Linked DNA regions of Xenopus tropicalis. The main gene of each other region encodes a partner of the protein of the gene in region 2 in a complex. Links are inferred from orthologs where the notes say so. Each region holds a gene or a part of one and is shown on either strand. Other genes may lie near its edges.

What was found. Proteins that work in one complex are often made in the same cells at the same time.
Region 1: map3k5 (region 2) and dcp1a share a complex: the UniProt entries of both Homo sapiens proteins name them as parts of the cytoplasmic complex. The link is inferred for Xenopus tropicalis from reciprocal best matches to the Homo sapiens genes MAP3K5 and DCP1A.

Annotation. Positions count from the first base shown.
Region 1 is NC_030680.2:150,714,608-150,718,880, reverse strand, and holds the start of dcp1a (mRNA-decapping enzyme 1A), read right to left. Parts: upstream 2,805-4,273; 5' UTR 2,747-2,804; coding exon 2,612-2,746; intron 1-2,611. UniProt on the Homo sapiens protein: Necessary for the degradation of mRNAs, both in normal mRNA turnover and in nonsense-mediated mRNA decay. Removes the 7-methyl guanine cap structure from mRNA molecules, yielding a 5'-phosphorylated mRNA fragment and 7m-GDP.
Region 2 is NC_030681.2:59,037,064-59,041,208, reverse strand, and holds the start of map3k5 (mitogen-activated protein kinase kinase kinase 5), read left to right. Parts: upstream 1-1,345; 5' UTR 1,346-1,529; coding exon 1,530-1,980; intron 1,981-4,145. UniProt on the Homo sapiens protein: Serine/threonine kinase which acts as an essential component of the MAP kinase signal transduction pathway. Plays an important role in the cascades of cellular responses evoked by changes in the environment.

The DNA.
Region 1 (4,273 bases), on a different chromosome or scaffold from region 2:
TGCTGGTTCTGACTCCTGATACAACTCCCCAATATCCATTCATCCCTCATTCTCACTGGGTTTATAGTTATGTGTAACTGTCACTGTGTCTGTCCCTTTCCCTTCCCTGCACTGCTGGTTCTGACTCCTGATACAACTCCCCAATATCCATTCATCCCTCATTCTCACTGGGTTTATAGTTATGTGTAACGGTCACTGTGTCTGTCCCTTTCCCTTCCCTGCACTGCTGGTTCTGACTCCTGATACAACTCCCCAATACCCATTCATCCCTCATTCTCACTGGGTTTATAGTTATGTGTAACTGTCACTGTGTCTGTCCCTTTCCCTTCCCTGCACTGCTGGTTCTGACTCCTGATACAACTCCCCAATATCCATTCATCCCTCATTCTCACTGGGTTTATAGTTATGTGTAACTGTCACTGTGTCTGTCCCTTTCCCTTCCCTGCACTGCTGGTTCTGACTCCTGATACAACTCCCCAATATCCATTCATTCCTCATTCTCACTGGGTTTATAGTTATGTGTAACTGTCACTGTGTCTGTCCCTTTCCCTGCACTGCTGGTTCTGACTCCTGATACAACTCCCCAATATCCATTCATTCCTCATTCTCACTGGGTTTATAGTTATGTGTAACTGTCACTGTGTCTGTCCCTTTCCCTTCTCTGCACTGCTGGTTCTGACTCCTGATACAACTCCCCAATATCCATTCATTCCTCATTCTCACTGGGTTTATAGTTATGTGTAACTGTCACTGTGTCTGTCCCTTTCCCTTCCCTGCACTGCTGGTTCTGACTCCTGATACAACTCCCCAATATCCATTCATCCCTCATTCTCACTGGGTTTATAGTTATGTGTAACTGTCACTGTGTCTGTCCCTTTCCCTTCCCTGCACTGCTGGTTCTGACTCCTGATACAACTCCCCAATATCCATTCATTCCTCATTCTCACTGGGTTTATAGTTATGTGTAACTGTCACTGTGTCTGTCCCTTTCCCTTCCCTGCACTGCTGGTTCTGACTCCTGATACAACTCCCCAATATCCATTCATCCCTCATTCTCACTGGGTTTATAGTTATGTGTAACTGTCACTGTGTCTGTCCCTTTCCCTTCTCTGCACTGCTGGTTCTGACTCCTGATACAACTCCCCAATATCCATCCATTCATTCCTCATTCTCACTGGGTTTATAGTTATGTGTAACTGTCACTGTGTCTGTCCCTTTCCCTTCCCTGCACTGCTGGTTCTGACTCCTGATACAACTCCCCAATACCCATTCATTCCTCATTCTCACTGGGTTTATAGTTATGTGTAACTGTCACTGTGTCTGTCCCTTTCCCTTCCCTGCACTGCTGGTTCTGACTCCTGATACAACTCCCCAATATCCATTCATCCCTCATTCTCACTGGGTTTATAGTTATGTGTAACTGTCACTGTGTCTGTCCCTTTCCCTTCCCTGCACTGCTGGTTCTGACTCCTGATACAACTCCCCAATACCCATTCATCCCTCATTCTCACTGGGTTTATAGTTATGTGTAACTGTCACTGTGTCTGTCCCTTTCCCTTCCCTGCACTGCTGGTTCTGACTCCTGATACAACTCCCCAATATCCATTCATCCCTCATTCTCACTGGGTTTATAGTTATGTGTAACTGTCACTGTGTCTGTCCCTTTCCCTTCCCTGCACTGCTGGTTCTGACTCCTGATACAACTCCCCAATATCCATTCATTCCTAATTCTCACTGGGTTTATAGTTATGTGTAACTGTCACTGTGTCTGTCCCTTTCCCTTCTCTGCACTGCTGGTTCTGACTCCTGATACAACTCCCCAATATCCATCCATTCATTCCTCATTCTCACTGGGTTTATAGTTATGTGTAACTGTCACTGTGTCTGTCCCTTTCCCTTCCCTGCACTGCTGGTTCTGACTCCTGATACAACTCCCCAATACCCATTCATTCCTCATTCTCACTGGGTTTATAGTTATGTGTAACTGTCACTGTGTCTGTCCCTTTCCCTTCCCTGCACTGCTGGTTCTGACTCCTGATACAACTCCCCAATATCCATTCATTCCTCATTCTCACTGGGTTTATAGTTATGTGTAACTGTCACTGTGTCTGTCCCTTTCCCTTCCCTGCACTGCTGGTTCTGACTCCTGATACAACTCCCCAATACCCATTCATCCCTCATTCTCACTGGGTTTATAGTTATGTGTAACTGTCACTGTGTCTGTCCCTTTCCCTTCCCTGCACTGCTGGTTCTGACTCCTGATACAACTCCCCAATATCCATTCATCCCTCATTCTCACTGGGTTTATAGTTATGTGTAACTGTCACTGTGTCTGTCCCTTTCCCTTCCCTGCACTGCTGGTTCTGACTCCTGATACAACTCCCCAATATCCATTCATTCCTCATTCTCACTGGGTTTATAGTTATGTGTAGCTGTCACTGTGTAACACTATAGCTTGTTACACTTACAGTTCACACACACCTACCCCGTCACTTTGCCCCTCCCTCCATAACAGACCCTTCCATCCCAAACCTAACTCTCCCCTCACACAGCTGGTTTCCCCCACTTCCCCCCCCCCCCCGCTCCCATGGTCCCGCCCGGTGCCACTCACCCACTCATTGGCTTTGGGGCTGAAGCGATAGAGAGCGACGTGCCCGGTCACATCCACTATGTTACTGATATAGGGGTCAGACTGCCGCAGCGCCGCTAGACTCATCTCTTGCCCAGCCTTCTCCCGAACCGCCATCTTTCCTAGCGGAACAGCAGCGGGCTGGAGTGGGGCTCACACCTTAAATGTCCGCCAGCTCCGCAGCCCCGGCACAATGGTTCCTACCAGCAACGTTCCGCCCGCTCCGAGCTTCCCTATTGGTGCAACCAGAAATGTGGTCTGAGCAAGAAACAGAAGGTTTAGGGGAACTTTATTTTTACCATGGGTTTTGTTGACATATAACTTGTACACCAGCCTAGGGGAAACATAACTTTGAGTCTTGTCTAAAGTTGAGTAATAACTTTAGTGTCAAGGGACCCTGCCATGATGTTTATGGGGCTGTTTATCTCTAAATGACCCTGTTACACAGCAAATAATTCCCTCTGCCATTTAACCTTTTATTCTTCAACCAACAAATGTATTTGTAGCTGTAATATTGGTGTGTAGGCGCCATCTCAGTGCCTTGTGCCTGAGTCTGAGCTTTCAGCCAGCGCTACACATTAGAACTGCTTTCAGCTAACCTATTGTTTCTCCTACTCCCATGTAACTGGAGGAGTCCCAAGCCGGACTTGGATTTCTTACTATTGAGTGCTATTCTGATACCTACTGGGAGCTGCTATCTTGCTCCCTTCCCATTGTTCTGCTGATCGGCTGCTGGGGGTGAGGGGGGGGGGGATATCAATCCAACTTGCAGCGCAGCAGTAAAGTGTGCCTGAGTCTGAGCTTTCAGCCAGCGCTACACATTAGAACTGCTTTCAGCTAACCTATTGTTTCTCCTACTCCCATGTAACTGGAGGAGTCCCAAGCCGGACTTGGATTTCTTACTATTGAGTGCTATTCTGATACCTACTGGGAGCTGCTATCTTGCTCCCTTCCCATTGTTCTGCTGATCGGCTGCTGGGGGTGAGGGGGGGGGGGATATCACTCCAACTTGCAGCGCAGCAGTAAAGTGTGCCTGAGTCTGAGCTTTCAGCCAGCGCTACACATTAGAACTGCTTTCAGCTAACCTATTGTTTCTCCTACTCCCATGTAACTGGAGGAGTCCCAAGCCGGACTTGGATTTCTTACTATTGAGTGCTATTCTGATACCTACTGGGAGCTGCTATCTTGCTCCCTTCCCATTGTTCTGCTGATCGGCTGCTGGGGGTGAGGGGGGGGGGGGGGATATCAATCCAACTTGCAGCGCAGCAGTAAAGTGTTCCTGAGTCTGAGCTTTCAGCCAGCGCTACACATTAGAACTGCTTTCAGCTAACCTATTGTTTCTCCTACTCCCATGTAACTGGAGGAGTCCCAAGCCGGACTTGGATTTCTTACTATTGAGTGCTATTCTGATACCTACTGGGAGCTGCTATCTTGCTCCCTTCCCATTGTTCTGCTGATCGGCTGCTGGGGGTGAGGGGGGGGGATATCACTCCAACTTGCAGCGCAGCAGTAAAGTGTGCCTGAGTCTGAGCTTTCAGCCAGCGCTACACATTAGAACTGCTTTCAGCTAACCTATTGTTTCTCCTACTCCCATGTAACTGGAGGAGTCCCAAGCCGGACTTGGATTTCTTACTATTGAGTGCT
Region 2 (4,145 bases):
TTTTGAGCTGTATTAAAAGGGGGAATAGATTCACGGGAGGAGGGTGTAATTCTTCCCCTTTACACAGCGCTGGTAAGGCCCCATCTAGAATATGCTGTTCAGTTCTGGTCTCCAGTGCTCAAACAGGACATGATTGAGTTAGAGAGGGTCCAGAGAAGGGCAACTAAGCTGGTAAAGGGTATGGAAAGTCTCAGTTATGAAGAAAGACTGGCCAAGTTGGGTCTGTTTACACTGGAGAAGAGGCGCTTAAGAGGTGACATGATAACTATGTATAAATATATAAGGGGATCATATAATAACCTTTCTAATGTTTTATTTACCAGTAGGCCCTTCCAACGGACACGAGGGCACCCACTCCGTTTAGAAGAAGGGAGGTTCCGTTTAAATATTCGGAAAGGATTTTTTACTGTGAGAGCTGTGAAGTTGTGGAATTCCCTCCCTGAATCAGTCGTGCTGGCTGATACATTATATAACTTTAAGAAGGGGCTGGATGGATTCTTAGCAAGTGAGGGAATACAGGGTTATGGGAGATAGCTCTTAGTACAAGTTGATCCAGGGACTGGCCATCTTGGAGTCAGGAAGGAATTTTTTCCCCCCTGCGGCAAGTTAGAAAGGCTTCAGATGGGGTTTTTTGCCTTCCTCTGGATCAACTAGAAGTTAGGCAGGTTATATATAGGCATTATGGTTGAACGTGATGGGCTTATGTCTTTTTTCAACCTAACTTACTATGTACCTGATTATTTGAGCAGCAACGTTCTACATGCTCCTCCCTAGGGTTCAGGAGTGAATGGATCGTAATTATTTTAGGCATAGTTACATTTCTAACAATGCCTAAAGTTATTTTATGCATTTACATAATTTTACATAACTGTGCTGGCAAGTAATTTGAGTGTGAAATATAACTTATTGTTAGAAACATAATGGTACCCCCATTAAAAGCCAAAAGATCAGTTCATTTTAAGCACAGGAAAAGCATACAATTGTATTTAGTGACTGCTTTATGATATAGGTTAATATCCATGTTTACATTTTGATTTTTGTTGAAGTTAAAAAAAAATAGATAATATGGTTTCATCAAGCTCAATGACTCTGTATGTTTAACAGCCAAAATACAAGGGCTTTGGGAGTGGTAGGATATAACAGACCAGAAGAATCAGCCAGAATGCTGCAGCAGGGACTAATCAAGGAGTTGGGAGTAGGTAGAATGCTGCAGAATTGAGGAATCAGGGTGCAGAAAGAAGAAATAGGCTGTAGCCCAGATCAGTCGACTACTTGTAGCTAGCAGGTAGAATGCTTCAACTCAGAGGAACCAGTGAGCAGGATGGAAGGAAGTGGTCAGAGACAAGAGAGAGGGAGGGGAAGGAGGAGGAGGAAGCAGGACAGAAAAAGTATGCTCGGAACAGCCCGGAACAATCACTTACACATGGGGGGATTAATCAGAGCTTAATTTATGGAATAATTTTTAGTAACAGAGTAGGGCTCGCTGTCATTTTGCACACAACTGTCCTAAAATGGACACCGTACACTGAATGCAAGTAATGAGTGACAGCAGCGAAGGAATCAGTTTCTCTGTACCATGCTCACGGCTGCCTGGCTCAAGCTGCTGTGCTCATGAAGACACAGGAGGGCTTACGCTACAGGAAAATGCCACCATATGCGGTGGAACCAGGATCCCTGAAGCTGGAAGCTTCTGGCGTGAAGATTACCTCCGTGCTTCAGCGGTTGGAAGTGGTAAAGATGCCCCATGCTATGGAAAGTGGGTTAACCCCCCTCCTACAGCTAGCGGAGGTATTAGCCTTCGTAGGATTACTGTGGTATATGTTATCAATGAAGTAAGTCCGGAGTTGCATGCTTGTGAGGCTGCTGCATTATACAGTTTGCAGGAGGCATGTGAGAACCATGGGGCACTGCTTGAGACCCTGGATTTCGGCAAACTGGACTTTGGCGAGACGTCAGTGCTAGACACCTTCTACAATGCAGGTAATAGAGGGTCTGACTGACATGCTAGAGTATTAGATGATGGGCACCAGATCTGGTATTTTTATTTCCACCCTTGTTCAAGGTGATAATCATATTTAGTATTGACTCCAGATCATATGTGAGGGTGTGCACACCAGGTCAGTTTCACAGTTGGAGGCCCAGCCTGACACTGGGTAACAGTCTTGGTGGGAAGAAAGGGGAAGTCCTGAGAGAAGACAAACAGAGCTACTAGTAGCAGCTACTTGTCATGGCTACTAAAACAGACAATGCTGATCATATACTGATAGCTGTCTCTAGGTGTGTTTTAGCAAAGGCAATTCTCAGTATTGTCTATGGCAGGGTTTTTTTCTGGCATTTAGTAGCCGTGACAAGTAGCTGCTACTAAGTAGCTCCGTGTGTCTTCGCCCTTAATCTTATCATGAGGCCCATGTTTACTGTTCGTATGCTCTCCCTCCTCTGTGTGCATGGGTTTCTTCCCCTACTTCAAAAACCATACAGTCAGGTTAATTGGTCTCTGATAAAACTGCCCCCTCTTTGTGATGGAAAACTTTGTAAGCTCCACTGGGGCAGTGAATGATGTATAATCTCTGTAAAATGTGACAGTGCTATATATATATATATATGTATATATGTATATATATATATATATATAATAACAAAAAAAATTTAAAATAATATTTTTTGGTATATATATATATATATATATATATATATATATATATATATATATATATACACCAAGAAATATTATTTTTAAAATGCTGGTTGATCTGGAGCAAACTGTACACTAGTTAGTTACTTTGTTGATATGTAGTATGTGCTAGCAGCCCTCATTGAAAGGCAGACACCTGGGGGCACATTCATCAATGTACTATTGTGCCTGAATACTAAAAATTTGTATTTTTCTTAAGTTTTAGAACTGTGCGTATTTTCTGCAATTTTTTTTCCTTAATTTGCGTGACTTTTTCATACTTTGCAACAATTTGTGCAACAAAATCGTATTTGTCACAACTAGTACGAAAGTTTCGGAATTCATTCAAGCTTCAGTATTGTTACTTTCCTTGGGCCAGGTTGGAGCTGCAGAGTGCCTTTGAGTCCTGTGGGAGGCTTCCAAAAACATGCACAGAAGTTTCAAAGTCAGAAAGTTTTTTGTGCCGTTTCCAATCTTTCGTATACGAAAATTTAGTAACTTTCGTATCAAACCACTATACTTTCGTACAAGCATGATGCGACTTTTTGCAAAATTAACTCACATCAGAAATTGCAAATTGTTGCAAATCGTACTCGGAATTCGTACTTTAATGAATCGTCCCCCTGGTGTTCACTGTGTTTTGACCAGCTATGCCATAAGACAAATGGGTAATTAGTAACATCCGTATCATATTATACAATGAGAGTATGAGAGTACAATAATTAGTGAGGAGCAGTGGGCAATGGTAATCTAAGAATATTATATATGAAAAGATATATGGCAGCATACAAAAGCCATTCTAGCATTTGCTAGATCAGTGCTGTCCAACTGGCGGCCCGCGGGCCGCATGCGGCCCTCGACCCCCCTCTGTGTGGCCCCCCACCTGTCTGGCTGCTTTGATGGCTTACTCTTGTGTAAGCTTTAAATGGTATCAGTACTGTGATTAACTGGCCCCCCCTGCATGGTTCTCACCTCAGATTCAGGCTGTAATCAGGCTGTATTGTTTAAATATGTAATCCCCTGTACTGTTCACACCTTTTAATCCCTGCATTGTTCACCCCCTGCAGTGTTCAAACCTCAGGCTCAGGCTGTAATCACTCCCATTGTTCTCCTGTTCACACCTCAGGAGCAGTAGAAACCCACAAATAAACCCTGCACACTACAAAAGCAACATACACTGAGGTGGTACTGCAATTAAAAAGTTTTTTAATATATAGTTATTGTGCAGACTGTTGGAGCAGTGCCAGCATTCTGTCACTGTAGGCTGCCTGTGTTTGCCATACACACAGGCAGGGTAGGGAAGGCAGAGTATGGCACACACAGGCAGGGTAGGGAAGGCAGATTATGGCACACACAGGCAGGGTAGGGAAGGCAGAGTATGGCACACACAGGCAGGGTAGGGCAGGCAGAGTATGGCACACACAGGCCAAGTATGGCACAAACCAGCCAAGAATGGCACACACAGTGAAAGTAT